Diceros bicornis minor: one gene and its partner. The protein of the gene in region 1 interacts with the protein of each later gene in a pairwise test. Links are inferred from orthologs where the notes say so. Each region holds a gene or a part of one and is shown in the gene's direction. Other genes may lie near its edges.

Region 1 (7,204 bases):
ATGAGAATTCCCGTGCGGGAGTTCTGGCAGGGAGTTCTGGGAAGTCTTGGATGTTGAGGCTTTTAAGCTGGTGCTTAAAGGCTAAGTAAAATGTGTAATTTCACAAACGGGAGGAGAGCATTACAGGAGGAGGGAACATTATGTACAAAGGCAAGAAGACGGAAAAGTTTATAATTCAGTTTGCCCAGAGCCTAGGATTTTGAAGGGGTGAAGTGGAAAAATAAGGCAGGAAAAGTAAATTCCAGTCAGACTCTTGAAAGCCATTAGTTCTAAGGGCTACAACTGAAGGAGAAGTGTGTGGGTAAGAGTGTTAGAGTATGTGAAGGAGAGAGTGGTTCTGATTTGGTTCAATGAATTACACCTCAGCTACCCAGTCACATGGTTATACCCTAGATCTTGCCAGAATCTACACCTCTGAAATCACTAATTCAAGCATCAAGTTCTCTACGCACAACTTCCTGAGCTTCCCCAGCTCACTTGCTCAAGTAACCCCACTGCAACAATTCTTTGACTTCATGAATCCTCCAATTCACTTTCCCCCTCCTACATATGCTTTCTCTCTTTTTATCAGTTTCCTCCAATCTTTGCTTGCTCCCTTTCCCACTTAAATTCCTGAATTTATTATCATTATCACTCTTGCAAATATCTTCACCTCCCTAGGCAATACTCCAGAGTATTCCCGCCACAAAGCAGAGAATCCAAGTATCTTCTCCATACTTGCACCTGTGTAGTTCAGGATTGTTGGAGGCAATCACACCACTGGGCAGGTTAATGATCATCAACCCTCAACACTGCTGGAAATCCTCATTTCTCTCTGATTCCCCTGCTCTCTGAAACAACTGTTTCTTACCTTATTCACATTCTTCAAATCTCTCCCTCCTACTCCCTGCTATTGACTTTGCCTCATACTTTATTGAGAAAACACATGCCCATCAGATAAAAACGCCCTCATCTTCTTGTGGATTTTTTAATGAAAATAGCTTTTTTTCTCCTAATAAAAATATGTGTTCATTGTAGGAAACTGAAAAATATAAAGAGGAAAGTAAAGATTTTCCCAAATCCTACCACTTAAAGATAAACATTGTAAATATTTTGGTAAATATTCTTCCAGACTTTTTTTTCAAATATGCATACAATTTTACATAAATGTATACCTTCTGTATAAACTTTTTTTTTTACGATTACGTATTAGTGGGATTAGTTGGCTCCTGTAGCCACTTATGTCGCTCCCTATTCACACCCAGGTGGAAACAATCCCAAGAGTTTTTTAGTCACTCAAATCTATATAATTATACCTTTTTGAGTAGTTGCTAACTTTTTTCTTGTTTACACTTAATGGTAGGATATAGGCATTTCCCTAGCTTTATACCTTTAGATTGTTTTCTCAGCAACGTTTTTAAAGGCTGTATAAGTATTCCACTATCTGGTACTAATGTACCCTAAGTTGTATAACTAGGCCACATTTAACTAGGTGAACATTTAAGGGGTTTACAATGCTTCAGCGAATGTTTCTGTTAATCTGTCTTCGCAAATTTTTCCAATTTCTTCTTTAGGAAAATTCCTAGAAGAGGAATTGTCTGGTAACAGGGTACACACATTTAAGATTTTGATACATATTGCCAAATTGCCATGCAGAAAAGTTGCAATAATTTCTTGTAAAAAAAGTTGCAATAAAATCTTGTAAAACATCATTAGTTTTCCTTTTTGATTCTGGTTTTCAGATAGTGTTTATATTTTGCCTTTGTGTTTATAAAATATTCACTCATATTTTCTTTTAGAAATTTTATGATTCAGTTTAATCTTTGGTTAATCTAGAATTTATTTTGGTATGTGAAGTGAGGCAGGGATCTAGTTTTATTTTTTAAAATGACTATCCAGTTGTTTCAATACTTTTTCGTGAGTAACTCTTTTCCCCAGTGATTTGAATCATTGCTCTATATATTTGGGTCTGTTTCTGGACTCTCTTTTGTTCCATTTATCTGTCTGTACAATTACCACACAATTTTATTTACGGTAGTTTTAATGTCTGGTATAACAAGCCCCTGTCCCTTACTCTATTATTGCTTTTGTTTTTATAATTTTCCTGACTATAATTGCATATTTATGCTGAAAGTGTTTTTGTTCTTTTAACAAGATATAATGCTACCTTATTAAGTAATTTGCATTCTTCGTTGCTTACTCTCTTTTAATCCACTCTATTAATGAGAATCTTAATTAGCTCTCATTAGATTCCAAGCTGTTCACCAGCCTTATGTACTATTTCACCATTTTTGCTTCAATTTTTCAAAAGGTAGGAGCAGGAAATTTATAGTTTATGCTAGGGTAAGGGAAGATAATCTACGGCATTTTGAATGCCTCTTAATGGCATTTTACTACTCACTCTTGCATATCCTCCTCAATATGCACCTGCTTCTTTTATTATCTCCTTTCCTCTTCTCTCTCTCTCTTTTACTTTTTTTCTGTCCTTTTAATTCTCTCTTTCTTATAGCATCTAGGGAGGCCATCTAGATCAAAAACAAAAATATTGGAGATACTCATACAACATAAGGGTTTCCACCCTTTCTGCATATTTTCCTTTATTCACTGGCCCTTTCAATGCAGTGGTGCCTGCTCAGTAGCTCTGACTTTGGAGTCATATTTACAGTCAGTATTAATCAATAGAGTCATTTGATTCTGTATGCCTTATATAATCCTGGATAATATAATATCCATTCTACTACAGACATTATTAATCACTAAGAGCTCTAAGATGTGTGTGAAGAGACCACTGCAGGCTTGAGAGCTGAGGTCTAATTATCGCCCTATTTGTTCATCTGTTCATCCATGAACAAAGAAGTTATGGTAGAGCCAGGGGCCTGGGTGGGATGATGAAAGTTGGGAGCCCTTAGTTTGCCAACCAGGAAATGGGGAACGATAATGGGAACTAACATTTGTTAAGTATGTACTATATGCCAGCCACTGTTCTAGATGATTTATGTACACTATTCTATTGAACCAGAAGCCTAGAACTACTTTTATTCCCATTCTGCAGAAGAGGAAATTGAGGTCCTGAGATTCTAAGTAGCTAGCACCAGGTCACAAAGTATGCGGTGCATGAGGATTCAGTCAGCTATGGGACACTCTACTGCCCTTTTCCACCAGACTTCTTCCTCTAATTTAGCAATCTAGGATTGTGAAATGAATACCAAATTGCAAGATGCAAAAGAAGAGAAGTTAATAGCAGTACTTTCTCTGTTTTCCCTTTTTTCTTCACTCTATGTGATCTAGATGCAGAAAATTTTGAAGAAGGAAAGAAATTATTTTTAGAAACTCCATCTTTTCCATGATAAATAATCACTGATTTTGAGTCTTAGGGTCAGAAGGGAACTCTGTTAATGTTCCCAGAATTGAAGCCACAATCTCTCTTCTTCATCCTGTTAGCCAGTTCCCTAGCTGACTTGACTGAGGTGCATAAGGCTTAAAAGAGGGGTATGTGAGGGAAGAAGTGGGAGGCTTGTTAATGTTTTTTGTTTTTGGTGCTTCTCCATATTTGGAGGCATCATGCCATAACACTGTTGTCTCTGAGTGGAGCTTTAAAGTAGAGGCCAACTCCTTGATTGCAAGCATCACCTATAGATTCAGCTGGAATCAAACATGTTTACTTACATATTCCATCCCCATCCCTAAAACCATTTGTTTGGAGATGGGTGGGACCCCTGCCCTTGCTGTGAGCCTGTAGAGGAGTCATTAGTTAGTTTCCTTCGGATTTGACAAGGACAGGGCAGCAGAAACATGTCTTGGAACTACAGGGTTTTTCAGTTTCCTCAACTTCTGATATTGCTGACCTTCGCCACTCACGATTAATCAGTGGGCAACATTGTTCCTTCCTTCCTCCCTCCCTCCCCTCTCCTCTTTCCTCTCCCTCGTCCCTACGTCCCTTTTCTTTCTTTTGAAGGCCTGCTCTCCTCTTTCCCATAACCCTGGCCATCTGCACTCTTCCCTCAATAATTGTAGTATGCTTCCAGTACTGCACCATACTTCCTTACGCTCAGTGATTCTCACCCCTGCCCTCTGAACTAATCCCCAGGATTGAAGGCCTAGACTGCGCCCCAAGGCTTAGGCTCGCGATGTGAGATAGACAGTAAAGGCCAATAGGAAGTGGTCTTTGATTGACGTCACTGTAGGGGGAGGAGCTTTCCAAGCGTCGTCGGGCACTGTGGACGGAGTTTGTGGAGACAGCACTGTGGCACGTTGGCGGTCCCGGCTGAGGTGACTGATTTAGTAGGTAGGAAGGGCTAGAGGAGGGTCAGGTACGGGTCAGTTGAGTGGTTTATAACTAGCAAGAAGATGCGGCCATTAGGTCAACACTTTTTAGAGTGGCCCTGAGGCAATGATTTTGAACCACAGAGCTGCTGTAGCTGACTCTCAGGTGAAAGAAGATGGGCAGAGGCAGGATTTTTTGACTTGGATGAAGTATGGGGCGCATTGTGGGGTCATTGAAAGCGGGAGACAGTAGTTATTGTAGTTTGGATGTGAAGGACCTACATTCCGTTGAAGCCGTATGGTTGGTGACTGTTGGGGGCGGGGAGCTGAAGGCGCGCTAGCTGGGTCTGTGAGAGCGGGAAAAAGGCCAGTGAGTGATTGGGTGCTTTGAATGTATGGGCGGTGGAGAGAGGGATTTTGAACCAATTAGGAGGAGGCAACGAGTACCAGCCAGACAAATCACAGGGTACCCTGGTTTCCTGGTTGCCAGGCGGATTATGGTAAGAAAAGATTTGGGATGAAAATTTCCTCCGAGCCAGATTCCTGTGACATGACTCCTGGCCCCACCCCTCGTTAACTACTTTTTCTGAGTTTTAAAATTTCTTCAGCATTTTTTTTCCTTTGGGTAACAGGTAACTGGAAAAATTTCACTGAAAAGAAATTTATTGAGGAACTGGAGGATAAAGGACAGAAGATTAAAATTTTTTTTTATTTCATAGGCTTGAGCCAGAGATTTAAAAATGGACGATGTTGATTTTCGTTTCATGGACTTTAAAGGTATATAGCTTTACATGGTAGTAAAGAAAATGTCAAACTGTTTGCTGCCTTATCTAAAATCTTCTAAATGTATTTTGTTTCTGAATTTTATCTCTTTGGAGTATCCATAGCTCCAAGTTTTCTTATTTGTGTACCAGAAAAACAATGTAGATGTTTAAGACACTGGAACCCTTTTATATGCTAGTGTAGGGAAACTGAATTCACAATTCATAGCTTGTTTTCTCAGGATTTTTATTGCATGCAAATTAACATTGGTTTAATCTGAAATAGAAATCTACTGCGTTAAATGTACATTAAAAAAATTACTGCAAGATCCTGGAGTGCCTTTCCAAAATCATCAGTGAAAAATAAATTATATCCTGTATAGTTTTAGGTTTAACTGCATTTTATTGTATCTTAATTCTTTTGAAAATTGGTAATCTCTGTATGGTATTTATGGTAATTGTTAATAAAAGCAATTTGACTAGAACAAGAGATTCCTCAACCGTGCCAGATATGGGAATGTTTACACTATTTCTTTTTTTCTGGGTACATGATTAGACCTGTGATACATTCACATTCATATATTCACATTCATATATATTTCACGTTATTCATATAATAATGACATATGTGTAGCCAGGGTGGCTACAAATCCATGATTTAAAAATGTTTAGGTCAATATTTTGTTAATTCTTGTCATTTTAGCACAACAGCAACAAAGCCCACTACCTCTTACCTTATGTTTTAATTTAGGATATGGTATCTTAAAGATATAAACATGGAATAAGGATTATGACTTTTAAGTATATTGTATTTGAGCCCTTGTATTTATATAATATTTGAAGCACACAGAAAAGTATAGAAAATAATATAATGAACACCTGTATACCTACCAGTAAGTTTTGTTGAATCTTAACAGTTTGTCATATGCTTCAGGTATTTCATTGTTTCAAAGAACTAGAAGATTAGATGCACCGGTTAGTCATCTTTGAAAATTTTACATAAATTGTATCATTTTGTATGATTTTTTTCTGTAACTTGCCTTTTTTTGCTCAGCATTATGTTTTGGATATTTACCCATATGGATATTTTAGCTCTAGTTCATTTATTTGCCCTGCTGATTAGAACTATTACGTTGAATAGAAGTACAATTTATTTATCCAATCTCCTTTGTTGTTGTTTCAAATATGTTGTTTTAACATATGAGTTGTTTTAAATATTTGCTGTTACATAACAACAACACTACAATGAACATTGTGTTTCCAAGAGCTTAGCAGGAGCTTTCAAGCATTTCTGACTACCACTCATGGCAAGGAAATATATTTTACATCACATCCCAGTACATACACACCATAGCAAAAGTTTGAAACAGTCTTACCCTTATTACACGCAGTGCACTATGATGTTTTCTATTCTATGCTTTTTAATTAAAAAATGCTGGTTATGACCAACTAAATTGATTTATTTCTTGAGCACTAGTGGGTGAGGATCTAGGGCAGTACTGTCCCATTGAACCATAGTGCAAACACAAATAATTTTATATTTTCGAGTAACCACATTAACAAAAGCTTAAACAGATGAAATTAATTTTAACATTACAAATTATTTAGCTTAGTATATCCAAAATGTTATCATTTCAACATGTAATCAATACAAAAATTATTAATGACATATTTTACATTCTTTTTTTTCTTACAAAGTGTTTGAAGTCCAGTATGTATTTTATTTATACTTAAAGCATATCTCATTTTGGACTTGCCACATTTCAGGTGCTCAGTAGTCACATGTGGCTAGTGGCTACCCTCTAGTGGCAGTGCTGTTCCAGGGTATATACATTTAGGAGTGGAACTGATGGGTCAAAAGCTATGAGCATCTTTAACTTTATAAGTATTGTCCAATTGCTGTCCAAAGTAGTTTAACAATTAATATTCCCTCTCTCTTTCTCTTTTCCCTATATCCTTGCTAATATTTGGTATTATCAGACAAAAAATTTTGTAGATGTGAAGGGTATTGTTGTTTTTAATTAACGTTTTATTTTGGAATAATTTTAGATTTACAGAAAAGTTGCAAAGATATTGCAGAGAGTACCCATATACCCCTCAGCCAGTTTCATTTACCCTAATGTTATCATCTTACATAGGTGTTGTTTTAATTTGCATTTCCCTGATAACTAGTAAAGTTGAGTGTATTTTCATAGATTTAT
Region 2 (7,154 bases), on another chromosome or scaffold:
TTCCACACCCTCCAAGGACGGAGCTGGAGCGGCCGCGTTGTGCTGCGCCGCCAGGCTGGGGTGGGGGGCACGAGGGCCGCGGAGCCCCCAGGGGGACTCGGAGAAAGATCGTGGGGCGCGGGGGACCTGGCGCCAGTCCGCCCCCGCTTTGGGGCGTCCGCTCCTCGCCTCCCCTCGCCCCTGGCCCGGCCGGGCCGTGCTCGGTTCAGTGTCCAAGGCCCCGGCGGAGCGAAGCGGGGCGCAGCGTGCAGCGGCGCCCCCCAGCGGCAGCCGGGGGTCTGCACCGACGCGCGTACCCCGTGCGCCAGGCGCTCCCCGGGTGCGCACCCCGCGTCGGGCCGGGGCGAGGCTGCAGCTGCGGGGCCCCGAGTGCAGTGAGGTGGCGAGGCCGGCAGGGGGGGCCGCTTTCCGGGCCGAGGGGCTCTGAGTGGGAAGCCGGACCATCTGCGTCTCTACCCAGCAGGGGGCGTGCTCCCTTGGCCGCGCCCCGTCTTCCCGCCGCCCCCCACGTGCGGGGAGGGCACGGGAGCTGGCTCGCTTGGTACCCGTCGCTTATCCCTGCAGCCTCGCAGGCGCCCGGACCTTGTTTCACCGCCTGGGCTCAAAGTCTTCCACCCGTCCGTCCCCGCCGCCCAAGTCACCCTCCCACTAACCTTTGACTCCGCTGGCGGCGCCTGCCGAGACCTGGGCGCCCCGGGGTCGGCCTCTCACTGGGACCACCGCGGCCACGGCCCAGGTGCGGTCGCGGCGGCCGCGGAGGGTCGCGACCTCGCCCCCCGCCTCGCATCACCTTTCTCATCGGCTCCCTGAGAAATTCTCCCTTGGAAATCTCTTTGCCGCACAATAGCTGCAAGACTTCGGTTCTACCCTTAACTGGCTGAAAAATGGACCCCCATAAAATATCCACGCCCTAATCCCTGGAACCTGTGAATGTTACTTTATATGGCAAAGTCTTTGCTGATGTGCTGTGCAGCTTTGGGCAAATGGCACAGCCCCTCTGAGAGATGCCTCATCTCATACCTACCTCAATAAAGTGGTTGGGAGGCAGCAAAATAATGACTACCAAGAGCTTTGTAAATCGTAAAGGGCCCCACACATTAAAGGGCTGTTATAAATGCCTCCAGGGGAGGAAAAACAATAAAATACATACCAGTCCTTTCACATTTACGCCTTAGTGTGAATGAATTTTTATTTATTCATTCAACAAGCATGTCCACAGAGACCAACAACGTCCCAGCGACTGCAGACATGGAGGAGTCCAAGTTGATGCTGAGCGTCTGAGCTGGTGGGAAGGGGAGGGTCCCAAGATAAGTTTTGAATAGTTCGTAGCAAGTCTGCGCTGAAGGATCCCGGGCGGAGCACAGGGCTCTGTTCTGAATATTGCCAGAGAGGAGGGGGTTGGAGGGGGAGTTGTGTGGGAGGCTACTTCAGCTGCTTCCTGGACCTCACGCCTTGGGAGGCCTCAGGACTTGGCTATGGTAGCCATTGTCTCCATGAAGGGAGAGAGGCAGGAGTAGAGACGCATTTTAACAAAGAGATAAAGAATAAATATATAAACGTGGGGCAAAGGATTTTGCATCATTTTGTTTTTGCTTAACCCTAAAGAGTGATTAAAAATTTTCATGAGGGTCCAGCTCCCTGCAGTAGTGGTTAAGTTCTGCACATTCCCCACAGGTTCGGATCCCGGTTGCCGACCTACACCACTTGTCAGCCACACTGTGGCAGCAACCCACACATAAAGTAGAGGAAGATTGGCACAGATGTTAGCTCAGGGCTAATCTTACCTAGCAAAAAAAACCCCAAAAAAACAAAAAAAAAATTTCCATGAGCCAAAGCTGAGGAAGGAGGGATGTGTCAGAGCCCAGCACTGGTCTCAACGCCATCCAACACCTGCTCTGAGGCCTTGAGCAAATAATGCCTGTAAGCCTCAGTTTCCTTAGCGGAAACACTAGCTCAAAACCCACCCCACTTCTGCCCAGGGCTGTTTTGAGAATCCATGAGATAACCATGTGAAGTGGACAAATACGAGGAATTTTTAATATGCTCTAGACCCGTTCCATTTGACCCAAATTAATTACACTCCATTTCCTTCTGAACCTGGGAGTGAGGGCAGATGTGGCCATTAGACATGGCTCTTGCTAAAATAACTCCTTTTAGAATGTTGGTTGGGGGAGCCAAAAAAGAGAAAATGGCAGTTTATTCTTTCATGCCAAGCACATAGTAGGCCCTTTATGAGTGTGTGTGGACTCACCAGAGTGAGGGAGGGACGGGATGGGAAAGGCAGGAAGGGTGAGAGGTAGGGAGGGGCCCATGCTGGTGGCCAGCTGGGTTCGTCATCCTCAGCCACATGTGTGTTGGGTGACTGCGTGTACATACATATGTGTGACCAGCGGTTGGAAAGAAAGTGCCAGTCAGCACCTTCTCGAGAGTGTCTTCATTGTCTCTCTGTTTGGGGGCCAGACAAGAACACCTCTGACTGTATGAAATGTCCCTGCGCCACCACTGACAGCTTTTCTGAACCTCCTGGGTGTCAATTTCCACATCTAAGAAGGGGAATACTATGATGTCTGGGATGTGATTCAAATACTCCAGCACAAAACAACAAAAGATATTGGGGGGCAGATGAAACAAGACTGGCTGTGAGTTGATAACTGTCGACACTACTCTCTCTACTTTGGGGCATGTTTGAAAATTGTCATAATAATCCACTTTTTAAAATCAGGACAGGGGAGAATAACCTTCCTCGTACAGTTACTGTGAGAACCAGCGAAGACATGACACTAACAGCTGCAGCAGCACCGTAACATTTACTGGGCGCTTACGGGGCGGCAGGCGCCCAGCAGAGCTCCGGCTAAGCTCCTTCCCACTCCTGGGTGTCTGTAGGCCAATGGCAGCGAGCGCCTACAAGTAAGGGAATCCCTGGCCTCGCTCAAACTCCTCCCCTTTCTCTCCGCCCTCCACAGCCCCTCCCTCCGAGGAAGAGCTGGGCTAGGGCCCAGCAGGTGTGGGGTTAAGGCAGCTCGGTCGGGGCCCCAGGAGCCGCAGCAGCCGCAGCAACTGCACCAGCAGCGGCGGTGGCAGGCCTGGCCCCGGGCCAGCTGGCCGGGAGCCCCAGGAGGAGAGGGGGCGGAGGAAGAGGGGAAGGAGGAGGAGGAGGAGGAGAGGAGCAGTCAGCAGGCCCGAGGAGGCAGGACTTCCTGGTGTGGGGGTTGTCAACAGCCCAGAAAGAGAAAGACAGAGACAGAACTGAGAGGAGCTGAGGAGCCGAGAGAGACCCAGCAAGGCCACGCGGGAGGAGACTTGGGAGACCCACTCGCCCCGACCACCGAGGCGGCTCCACCTGGAGGAGCGGGGGGCTGAGCCGCCCCCTCCCGCATCGGTCCGGAGACCCTTGGGGCTTCAGAGGCCGCGCTTGGACTCCACCAAGGAGGCGGGGGTTCCTTCTTTACTGGAGGGCAAACTTTTCACGGAGATGCCTTGCGGGGCGAGGTGCTGCCCCTGAAGAGGACCGGACAGCCTCTGGTCGCCACCTGCGCGCCCCGCGCTGCTGGGGCCGGGAGGCCCCAGGAAAAGGACAGCCGGACGTCTTAGGCAGCCGGAACCCCCGGCCCAGCTCGGTGGCCGAAGCCGAGAGGTAGGGCTCTGGGCTGGGCGGGGCGCTGGGCCGGAGGGGCAGGGCCTGCCCCAGGGATGGGGGAGCTGGGGTGCCGGGCCTCGAGGCTCAGCAGAGGCCTCCCGGTGGCCGGGCCAGGCCGAGGAGCTGCTTCACCCCCGTTCCCCCAGGCCCTGGAGCCCTTGCCCTTGGGACGACTCGGTCCCGTGAGTTTGAATCCCAGGCGAGAAATGCCCAACTTTGGGTCTGGGCTGCCTCTTCCTGCTCTGTGCGCGCGCTCGGATCCGTCCCGTCTGCCCTGGTCTCTGTCGTCTCTGGCTGTCTCTTTGTCTCTGGGTCTCTGGCGGTTTCCCCTTCCTCCCCCATCCTGCTCCCCAGAGAGGAAGCCCCGGAGGTGGCCTGCCCACTGCTTTCTCACACATACACACTCTCTCTCTTTTTCCAGTTTGCAAACTCAGCTCTGGAGTTCGGCAGCGACAGCAGCAGGAAAAACCTGCCCCTGCCGGGCCCCCCCCACCCCCGCTCCTGCCACCACCCCTACCCTGTTCTCCCTTCACCAACCAGGCACCCCCAGTTCCCCGCAAGGCCCTCCTGCCATGTCGGACCCAGACGGCCCCAGGGGCCCTGATGTACCCGCCATGTGGCCCCCCTGTTCCAGGGGCGCCTGAGCCCCTTCGAAGATCCACCACTGCCCCCCTGCCCACCTTGGCCTAGTCCTGAGCCCCAAGGACCATGAGTGGGGGCAAGAAGAAGAGTAGTTTCCAAATCACCAGCGTCACCACGGACTACGACGGCCCAGGGAGCCCAGGGGATCCAGATCCCCCTACCCCGCCGGCCCCCACCGGGCCCTCGCCCCGCCTGCCCAATGGGGAGCCCAACCCTGAGCCGGGGGGCAAGGGCACCCCCCGGAATGGCTCCCCGCCGCCTGGGGCCCCAGCCTCCCGTTTCCGGGTGGTGAAGCTGCCCCACGGCCTGGGAGAGCCTTATCGCCGAGGCCGTTGGACGTGTGTGGATGTTTACGAGAGAGACCTGGAGCCCCCTAGTTTTGGCAGGCTCCTGGAGGGAATTCGAGGGGCCTCGGGGGGTACCGGGGGCAGATCTTTGGATTCCAGGTTGGAGCTGGCCAGCTTGGGCCTGGGCGCCCCTACCCCACAGCCAAGCCTGTCTCAGGGCCCCACCTCCTGGCTCCGCCCGCCTCCCACCTCCCCTGGACCTCAGGCCCGTTCCTTCACTGGGGGGCTGGGCCAGCTGGCGGTGCCTGGCAAGGCCAAGGGGGAGACACCCCCCATGTCAGCCTCCCCACCGCAGCAGCACCCCCCAGAGCCTGGGACTGGGGATAGCATGGGGCCGCCCAGTGCCGCCACGCCCCTGCCCTCCCTGAGGGTGGAAGTGGAGGCTGGGGGCTCAGCAGCCGTGACCCCTCCACTGTCCCGAACGAAGGATGGAGCCCTGCGGCTGAGGACGGAGTTGGTTCCTCCAGAGGAGATGGGGCAGGTAAGAGCTGGGTTCCAGAGTCGGGGAGACACCTGAGGGGTGGTGCGTCTCAGCCTTGGCCTAACCTCCAGCCTGGGCCTCCTTGCCTCCACCTCCATACCACTTTCTCCTCACTTCATCAGCACCTGTCTGTCAGATCAGATAGCCTCTCATTTTTTTTCCTGCCATCTCACTTGGAAGTCCATTCTTCCTCCTCTCACTGCCTTTGTTTTCTCTCTCAGGCTCCCTCTTCCCCACATTCTGCACCTTCTTTCTTTCTTTTTGGCCTGTCATTTGTTGCCTTTGGCCCAAGTCGCCATCTCCATATAGCGTAGTCCCATCTCTCCATCACAGGGATGTGGCCTCCCCATGCTGGCCTTCACCTTCTGTCTTGGTCTCACCCCTTCTGGCTTCAGGCGTTGAGGGTGGAGGCCCCAGGCAGGGCTGGGTGGTTGGGCCTCTGGGAGAGGAGCTGCCAAGGTTGGCAGGGCAGGTTAACAAGTAGGCATTCTGTTCTAAGTCTGTCCTTTGTAGCCCCATTCCAAAGGTGGGGGTCTTCTTTTTCCCACTACACACCCATCCCAGCCCCGTCTTCAGCTTTGTCTTAAGCCAAATTTTTCCGAGGACCTGAGGAATTGGGTGGGGGGCCCGTTACAAGGATGGGGGCCTTGCTGGTATGTCCTTTCCACCCCCGGTTGTCTGTCTCAGTTCCCTGCATCTGGGCCTCTCCAGGATCGATAACTAGGGGTGGCCACCATGGAGTGGGAGAGGTGGGAAGCAGCTGAGAAAGAGTTAAATCCTTTGCTCTCTCTGCTTCCTGTCTCCAAAAGAGGAACAAGTCTGGGCTGGGGGGCAGGATGCCTGGGTCCCTGGGGTGGGGGGTGGGCAGCGAGGAATGTGGGGGTTGGATGTGTCTGTCCTGAAGGAGAAAATAACACCTTGAGCTGCAGGAGGAAAGTCAGGGAGTGTGAGGATGAGAGCTTTTCCCCTTCCTGGCCTTGGGCACAGACCACAGTATAAAAATAGCCTGAGACTGGGTGTCTGGGCCCTGTCAGGACCGGTCAGGACTGGCTCCCCCCCACCCCTTCTGGCCGCAAGCTCACATCTCTCGTGCTCCCCTCACCCCTACTTTTCTTGAGTTTTTTTTTGAGCTCTTTCATTCAGTTCCTACCCCAGGGGAGAAGACGCTGTTTCCTTTACTGGTCCCTGTCCCCACACTCTTCCAAAGCAGGCCCCCTTCGCCCCAGCCTCTGTCTGTCCTTAACCCCTGCCTGAGCTTCCCTTGGGCCCGCTGACCCTGCCCCTCTCCCTTCAGTGCCCCCAGCCCCTTTGCTTCCCCTGCATCCTGATCCCTTCCTGTGTGCCTGCATCTGTGCTGCTGCTTCCCTGCCCAGAAGTCCGTCTCCCTTCCACACTCCCCCATGCCACCTGGGCCCCCTTCCTCTGCTCTGTCCCTCTAACCACCCTGGACTCAGTTCTTGGCTTTTCCGAGAAGCTGGGGCCTCCTGGGGCCTCACAGAGGCGTCTTGTTCCTGTGGCCCCCGCCCTTTTGCAGCCACCCCCAGCGCCTGTTGGACTGTGTGGGTCCACACCCAGGCTCCGCCTCCCCCCATCTCTGCAACCACTCCCCCCCACCCCCAAGGAGGGAGCAAGCGCAGGAGCAGAACTTCACCTGAGACCGAGAAGTTTGAGAGGAGAGGCTAGAATGGGAGGTGGGGGGGTGGGGGGCGTGGAGGACCAGTTTCTGAGGATTCATTCATTCTACAAATAGCTATTGAATAAACTAAGCTCTGCCCTCTGGAGCTTACCTTCTAGCAGCGGAGAGACAAAAATACTTTAATTTCCTATAATATTAGGTGCTATAAAAAAATAGAACAGTTCGGGGGAATCCACTACTAGAATGATGGGGAAATGCCTCTCTGAGGAAGTGACATTTGACTTGCTTTAAGAAGCCAAGTGACAGAAGGCAGACACTCTCTGACTAGCCTCTGATTAGGGGTCCTGGTTCAGCTGGCAGAAGATGCTGGAGTGCAGACCAGAGCCCCTCTCTGATACCCCGTGAGCCACT

What was found.
Region 2: the proteins of TEX11 (region 1) and TSC22D4 interact in a two-hybrid assay, tested with the Homo sapiens proteins (2 studies listed by BioGRID and IntAct). The two-hybrid records come from large-scale screens. The link is inferred for Diceros bicornis minor from reciprocal best matches to the Homo sapiens genes TEX11 and TSC22D4.

The regions. Positions count from the first base shown.
Region 1 is NC_080781.1:64,217,809-64,225,012, reverse strand, and holds the start of TEX11 (testis-expressed protein 11), read left to right. Parts: upstream 1-4,199; 5' UTR 4,200-4,248; exon of another isoform or gene 4,249-4,264; intron 4,265-4,286; exon of another isoform or gene 4,287-4,408; intron 4,409-4,750; exon of another isoform or gene 4,751-4,961; 5' UTR 4,962-4,982; coding exon 4,983-5,019; intron 5,020-7,204. UniProt on the Homo sapiens protein: Regulator of crossing-over during meiosis. Involved in initiation and/or maintenance of chromosome synapsis and formation of crossovers.
Region 2 is NC_080765.1:5,317,256-5,324,409, forward strand, and holds the start of TSC22D4 (TSC22 domain family protein 4), read left to right. Parts: upstream 1-4,147; 5' UTR 4,148-4,345; coding exon 4,346-5,107; intron 5,108-7,154.